2 linked regions of the Drosophila melanogaster genome follow. Changing the gene in region 1 together with any one later gene gives a genetic interaction. Each region holds a gene or a part of one and is shown on either strand. Other genes may lie near its edges. The genes, in order: PPP1R15 and PEK.

Region 1 (3,927 bases):
TTGGCCAAATAAGTTTCGGAGATCCAAAACCAAGTTGCAAACGACTGAAGGAATCATGAAATAAATAATGAATTAACGCGATAACATTTATGAAATTTACTGCTCCATGTTAAACGTACCTATTTTTTCAAACTGCCGTCTTATCTGTTTCTATTCAGAGCTTATCTCTCACCCACGTACACACAAAGTCTTTACCCAAACTTGTTTGGCTTGGGAATTTGGAACACAATGCAAGCAATCTTATGTGAAAAGAAGAACACACAGTAAAATACGTCTATTGCTTAATTTATTTCAAGTTATATTAAGGTATATGCTAATCCCGTTATCAACAAATTCAAACTTCTTAGGGCTCTAAAACTAAAGGCGAAGAAAAGTGTACGTGGTTTTGATATACTTTACAGGTTAAACAGTTTTTGGCTTCATAAAATCAATCACGAACGCAGTGGCTAAATCGATCACTTTATACACGCAAACAACTTGGAATTTAATGCTGTAATCGTTCTAAACTGTAATCTGTACATCAAAAGTTACTTCAGGTATGCGGACCAGCTAGTCCTCGTGCAAGAATCGAGCTTGGTAGACACGATCTCGGTGAACTGGAGTCAGGACGGCATTGAGAATGGGTGAAATCCGCCGAATCCGCTGCTGAAAGCGATCCCGATCTCGCGCCATTACCTGCCATTCGCTCTTTCTGGCAGCCCGATAAGCGTAGTCCCAGGCGAGCATTACGTGAACTTCGGGTTTCATGTTGAAACGAACCTGTGCGCATAAATAGGAAATTAGATATGCCCACTTATGCCGCGCAAAAATATTCTTCACCTTCTTGACAGGAGTCGAGCTGTCGTCGCTGCACTGGCAGGCCTTTAGCTCCTCGGTATTTTCATCCTCACCGCATGCTGTAAACTGCACGCTGCTGTCGTCGTCATCATCATCCTCGTCTTCCTCGACATCCTCATCCGCCTGCTCTGCGTCGTCCTCAAAGCAAATGAAGCTGTCCTCACTGCACTCGGAAATACTACGCTGCCGCTGCCAGGAGCTCTTGGCAGCCGATCCTTGCGAACAGCCAGCGTTGTTATTCCGGTCACTGGAGGCTTGACTAGTAGGGCAATCCTCCGCGGTATCCTTAAAGCCGTGGTGCGGATGCAGGTCAATAAAGAAGTAGCACGAGGACGGTACGCAACGCCGCAAGGCGTCCAACTCGATTCCCGCCATCTTGGCGCCCGGCGGACTCTGGGCGTTGACGCACTTGTGCAGGGCGGTCTGCATTTGAGTTACTACGTCCATAGCCATTAGCTTGAAAGACATCATGGTGGCCAGCGGATTCAGGGGGTCTGGCTGCAGGGTTGGGATCCGCAAATCCTCGGGGACTTCGAGCGGTTTGACCTCGGGTGCCTCCTGATGCACCTTGTTTGGCTTCCACAGTGTACGTGATCCAGCGGAGAGGGGACGTGACGGCCCGAACCGATATTGCTCGTAGATAGGGGAACTCATGTTTGCAATCAGGCGGAGAACAAAGAGGAAGGGGTCAAACAGTGCGCCCATAAGGGTGTGAAATTTCGACATCTGAACTTAAAGACACAAGTATGCGTTTGGTGTGGTGGGAATCCCTTGCGAATGGCCATTTTCTTGAACTTGGCTTTGGGGGGCATGGTGGCCAGCTTAATTTGAAACACACTTATCCATGGTTACTGCGATTAACTAATGTAATATGGAGTGAAATAACGCACATATATGGTGAAATGTTACGTATGTCGTGCATCCGATCCTTTGCACTTTACTGTTTTTCAGTTGTAGGCTAGTTCTGCTTTCGTTTGTAGCGTATATAGCGAGATATAGAGTCCAGGCACAATAATATTCAGAGTTTTACACGTTTTATACCAGAATAGTTCCATACTTTTTCACTAGAGCTGAAAATTTATCGATAACAGACGTTGAATCACCTTGGGTATTGTTGTTTTTGTGACCATTCACTTAAGCACCCCACAAAATCGTCCCATTCAAAACGGGCAACTGCAAACTATCGATAGGCAATTTCAATTTCAAGTTTCAAATTGTTGAAACTTTTAAAAGGGCTTTCCAGATTTATTAAAATAAGAGGTTATTTAAATATTTTTCTATTTACAGATTGAAAATGAGTTTATTGTTGATAATCTGATTTTTCTCCGTGAGTGAACATTTTTAGGTATTATTGCGATTTAATAGCAATATTAAGTAACCGTGATAAATGTATACTTTTATTTAAGCTGGATGTAACACCGATATACAAATTTATGGATCATAAGCTCCTAGGAAGTCACTTTAAAAATTGATCATATGATTGATGAGTCATCGTTCATGATTCTGGTTTATGAAGACGAAGACAGATCTAGTTATAGTACTCCAATTGTTAGAATTATGTATGTTGGGAGATTTGCTTATTTTAAAAGAAATAAATTAAGAATAAAATGTAAATAAATATATCGCAGCCTTAAAACTTAGGATGAAATATTGCGGTCGCAGCGATCAACTCGATTACTTCCGTGTGTCCGAGTACAATTAAATCATGCATACTCGTATGTACACTGCATGTACATGGTTCTTTACCCGATATTTATACCTGACACTGTATGAAAATGCAAGTGCATGTTCCGCTGCGTCATTCTGTAGATAAATACTATGTGTACATATGTACATCGAATTTGTATCTGTTAATATATATAGTTATCTCTATATTTTCGCATAATATTCGAGTGTTCTACGTTAACTGCATGCCATTTATGCATATTATTCGAGATCTCGTATATGGCAGCATAGTGCCTGCATGCATATGTTTTCTGAGGATGTATGTACTGGCATACATATAATATCTGATATTTACGTATAATATTCAGATTTTCCGCTCTCAAGACCGTTCGGAATCGTCTGAAATAAACAGAAGCCAGATTCATATTCATGCGCACATATGTATATTGCACGCTTATACGTAATGTGTATTTATTCTCGTATATATACATGCATACAACACACAAGCAAACGTACAGATTAATCAAACAGCCATATGATTAATACACAGTGGAACAGCTGATTCATAAGCGTACATGTACACACCCCTCCCCGCACACAGCACACCAACACTGTTGCGCTACTGCAACAGTTGATATCAAACCAAGGGGCGCAGTGCGGGTGGCGCCAGCCAGAAGGGCGCTGTGAAGAATTGATGACTTAAAGGGGCACCGAATCAAATAAAGAATTCTATGCTGATTGAAATAACTCTTTTATGGAAAATAAGGAAGGCGTAAGGCACTTTTATGCCAATGCAACTGAACTAACCGCAAGTCCGCTCCTGACTCGTCGAGTCAGGAAACTCTCGCAAAAACCTGCGCTCTTTCGGTCTCTGGCACGCACACAGCGACAGCTCGTGTATGTGACGCTGGTATGGGTGCATGTATCTGTATCTACGTGCTGTGGACTCAACTCAAATCAACTTGCAGTCAGTTCACTTGAACAGCTGTGAGCGATCGACGTTGGTCGGGAAGCAATCACAATCGAAACCACACTCACACACACCAAATACACACACCCACACGGATACAGCAGAGCCATATATATGTATGTATGTGCAAGGCATATATGCATAATTACATACAGCGCAGTACATGGGGCTGCATAAGAAACAAGTACAACAAAATCACAAATACACAAATGTACAACAAAATAAAAACGTAAAATCTTTTGCGTAGTTTATTCGCTCGCGTCGCGCTCGTTTCTTCACTTACTCCACTCCAGCCGTCAATTTCGATTCCACTTCCAATCCAAACCCAACTCGCATTCGTATCTCATCGCTTCGGTTTCGTTGCGCTGCGCCGAGAGTTTCGTTTTCAGTGCTTCTTCAGTTCACAGTTCAGTTCAGTTCAGTTCGGTGTGGATTCAGTTGGATTCGAATCGATG
Region 2 (3,927 bases), on another chromosome or scaffold:
TGCAAAATTTCAGCGTTCATTTTTGGCCTCCGCTTTTCTTGTTGTTTTTAACGTGATTTCAATAACTTCTTGTGGAAGATTAATAAGTGATCCGTGTTATCAGTTTTTGTTTTTATCATTAAATGTTGCCCCAGGCCGGTCGGGTACAGGAATTTTCACCAGACTCCGCTTTATTTTTATATAAAATGATGTTTTTAATGTACTGTTGCCCAGAGCTGTGCACCTCAATATCTTCAATGTTTAAAGTACTTTTCGTTTAATCAAATGCATGCAAATGATCGAAACCCTCAAGCCCCAACGAATACCTATGATGAATGCCTACGGCTCTAAAGATTATCTTTTCTCATCCACAGCTAAGCCATGGCCGACACACAAGCCAAGTCCACTACTGCGCCCAAGGCCGCCAAGGCCCAGAAGGCTCCCAAGGCCGTCAAGGCGCCTAAGGCCGAGAAGCCCGCCGCCTCAGAGGCTAAAGTTTCCGCCAAGAAGTACAAGCGTCACGGACGCCTCTTCGCCAAGGCCGTCTTCACCGGCTACAAGCGTGGTCTGAGGAACCAGCACGAGAACCAGGCCATCCTCAAGGTATGTCTATACTTCAATGTGATGGGTCCGGACTTCACAGAGTTTTTCAAATAATAATTAATACATTCCAGTTCTGTAAAAACATTTTAGTAATGTAATTGATTAACCAACATATTACATTGCAGATTGAGGGCGCCCGCCGCAAGGAGCACGGATCCTTCTACGTTGGGAAGCGTTGCGTCTATGTCTACAAGGCCGAGACCAAGAAGTGCGTGCCGCAGCATCCCGAGCGCAAGACCCGCGTCCGCGCTGTCTGGGGCAAGGTCACCCGCATCCACGGCAACACCGGCGCTGTGCGTGCCCGTTTCAACAGGAACCTGCCCGGTCATGCCATGGGCCACCGCATCCGCATCGTTAGTTCAAACACACCTTTTCTGTCCGACAATTGGGTTGTATTAACATGCCTTCTTTTTTCTTGCAGATGCTGTACCCATCAAGGATTTAAGTTAATATCCGACTTGAATTACTGACCTGCAGGAGTAAAAAATCCGTTTTACATTAAATGAAACACTTTAAATTTAATTAAAACGCAACTTGGCTTTTTTATTAAGGCGAGATACCGATTGAAAGTTGACGGTAATCTGTATATCGATTGATGGCTGTTCGGTTTGACTTTCCCTACTGCAATGAATTATCTTTTGGCGGGACCATCCACTTCGCATTAAAATCCATTTATATTGATCTTAAGTAGCAGATGAAGACGATGGAAACGTTTTAGAGTACGAATTGAATGTGGATTTCGAGACTCTTGGCTAATGTCGTTCCTTTAGATCAGACATACCACTTCTACCATAATAGATTTTAATTAGTTTTGAAAATCTCAAAACTATTTTTTGTATTGCCAAAGTCAACGAATACTGTAGTGTGTACTACTAACGAATCTTTTCGCAAGGACACTAGGGGTGTATGGCGTAGCCTTTCTGCTCGAAAATCATACGAATTCAAGTTTCTGTTAATCAACAATGCGGTTTCTAAAAAAATCAAGGAAATGGTTTCATAGTAATCAAAAGTTTTTTAAAAAGAATAAATGTTGTAATAAACGTTTCTATATTATGACGAATATACCACCTAACATATTTTTAGAAGGTAGAGCATATTTAAATTAAAGTAATGTTTGAATTTCATTTGGTATGTGTCAGAATTATAGCCGAATAGAATTTATTTTTAAAACACGTCGAATAATAGAAGTATTCAATAAGAGATGAGATGGAAATAATACTTCATCTACTTTAATAATTATTGTTAAGTTGTCCCTATTTGTGTCAAAACATGGGCGTCAAACATTGTTTTAAATTAGTTACTGGAAAAGTTTAAAATAGTAAAACCTTAGTGAAACTGTTCCCACCGTGTGTATTTTTTTGGTACTTTTAGGTAATGACGAAATAAACTGTATTGTGGTGTCATCTGTTATTTTAAGGCTGTCAAAACGCGGTCACACTTGCAATCGCGCGTTTTGCGGCCCAATCGGAACAAAAACATAAACTGACCAGTTTTAGTGGATTTAAATAGTGGAGTTGCGATTGATTGCTGCAGGAGCCATCGAGAGTGATGCGGAGATGTGCGCCGACCTTGCCGGGAGCCACTGCCGCCGCTGTTCCACCAACCGACCCCCCGAAGTGAGGTCAACACGTCACCGTTCGAACCAATTAGAGACTTGCATTTCTGCACCGTTCCCCGCGTCCGATCGCCAACGACCAGGATTACGTTATATGCGCGTACGATGCAGGACGACCTGGATGGCATCGTGAGGCATCGTCGCCGGAGCCTGAGCTTCCTGCAGATCGTCACGCTCACTATGGCCGGCCTGGTGGCTTTCGATCCCGCCCAGGTGCTAGCTGGGCACCCAACTACTGATTCGGAGCTCCAGACTGCCGGATCTCCCCGTCCCCCCGGGCTCGAACACTGCGTAGATCAGGAGGAGCGTCGCGTTGCAAGAAGGTACGTACCCTAACCAAAGTATCGGGAGGAATGCACTGGTATCGAATGGATTGTAGCAGAAGAAGAAGAGTGCGTTATGTGTGTGTTATGTTTATGTTCTCGAACATTCGCTAAAACGCGGTGCAAGTGGATAAACGAGCAGCCAGCACCTAGGCAAATATTGCGAAGAACACGTTAGTGATATTTGGTTGAACTACTCGAAAAGTGCCTATTTAATCAGCTAAAACGGGGAATTCGAAGAGAACTGTGGTACGACGGGGGGCCAGTGAAAATACGTAGCTCAAAATTCTCGGCTGATCCGACAAGTTGGTAACATTTGCGACGGCCCTTAGCTTTAAGTACCTTGTCCCGTCTAACACGAGAAATTCGGAGAGCTTCTGTTCAACTTGAAGTCTGGGAGCGATCTGATAATATGAACCCACATGTTTGCACCTTGGCCAACTATGAAAACCCGTAATCAGTGGACGCGCTTATCAAGCATGCGGTGAGTCATTTGCAAGATCTTAACTGAATTTTTGTTTGAGGCAGACGTCTAGATATGTTGTTTGGCAAGCATGCCAATCCGAACTGGTTTCCCCGATTGTTTTGCTTTCCTTTGCGTTTGTGCAAGGTTTTCACTGAATTTCACAATTCTCCCCCCGTTTGCTTTATCCCCCCTTTTTGCGGGCGCCATTTTCGGCTCCTTGGTGGGCGCGACAGAGATGGCGATAGGGGAAATGGAGAGGGGCCAACTGACACTTGTTGTTCCTCGAGTTCTTGTCTTCTTGGCGCAAAAACAGCTGAGTTTACTTCCCATTTACCTTTTCTACGCTGTCAGCTGGGTCTGCCAGTGTGCCCCTTTTCCTGCTTTCCTTTATTCTTGCCCCATGCACCGTGTACCTGGTGACGGAATCGGTTGCAAGCACAAATCAACTTTTTGTATAATTGCAAATTTAACTCTAGTATTTAATCTTTCGAGTTGAAATATTTTAAACAGTTAACCAAAGGCTTACTCACTTACAGAAAATTCAATTTTTACATTAATTGCACGAATAGAAAATATTACATAAAAATCAAATCATTACTTGAATCTATGTATGCTGTGTTTTTTGTTTTTTCTTCAAAATCTTGTGTTTGTTTATTTCAAGCTCGCCCATGGTAATTGGATATTACCTACATAAAGGGTATACGGTATTCTTATATTTAACAAGAACGGCTTTTAAAAACATATTGGCCTCGCCCACTCTAAATTCCACAAGCTACAAAATCCTTGTTACGCTGACACGGTATCATTTAGCGAAAATAACAATTTGGCAAATTCCGCCATTATGGACTATTAGCTAATATGGAGTAGTCGATATTTATTTATTAAATATGGAAATAAAAACATTAAAACTTGGTATTGCATTATTTATTCTATCCACAGAC

Evidence for each region.
Region 2: of PPP1R15 (region 1) and PEK, changing one suppresses a phenotype caused by changing the other (phenotypic suppression), as found in Drosophila melanogaster (one study listed by BioGRID).

The regions. Positions count from the first base shown.
Region 1 is NT_033778.4:23,975,329-23,979,255, forward strand, and holds PPP1R15 (protein phosphatase 1 regulatory subunit 15), read right to left. Parts: upstream 1,928-3,927; 5' UTR 1,564-1,927; coding exon 820-1,563; intron 760-819; coding exon 550-759; 3' UTR 271-549; downstream 1-270. Other genes in the region: mr (morula), read left to right, coding at 1-12.
Region 2 is NT_033777.3:5,462,808-5,466,734, reverse strand, and holds the start of PEK (pancreatic eIF-2alpha kinase), read left to right. Parts: upstream 1-1,981; 5' UTR 1,982-2,302; coding exon 2,303-2,520; intron 2,521-2,839; exon of another isoform or gene 2,840-2,942; coding exon of another isoform or gene 2,943-3,004; intron 3,005-3,614; exon of another isoform or gene 3,615-3,654; coding exon of another isoform or gene 3,655-3,683; intron 3,684-3,925; coding exon 3,926-3,927. Other genes in the region: RpL35A (ribosomal protein L35A), read left to right, coding at 361-582, 708-935, 1,004-1,027. UniProt on the Drosophila melanogaster protein: Phosphorylates the alpha subunit of eukaryotic translation-initiation factor 2 (EIF2), leading to its inactivation and thus to a rapid reduction of translational initiation and repression of global protein synthesis.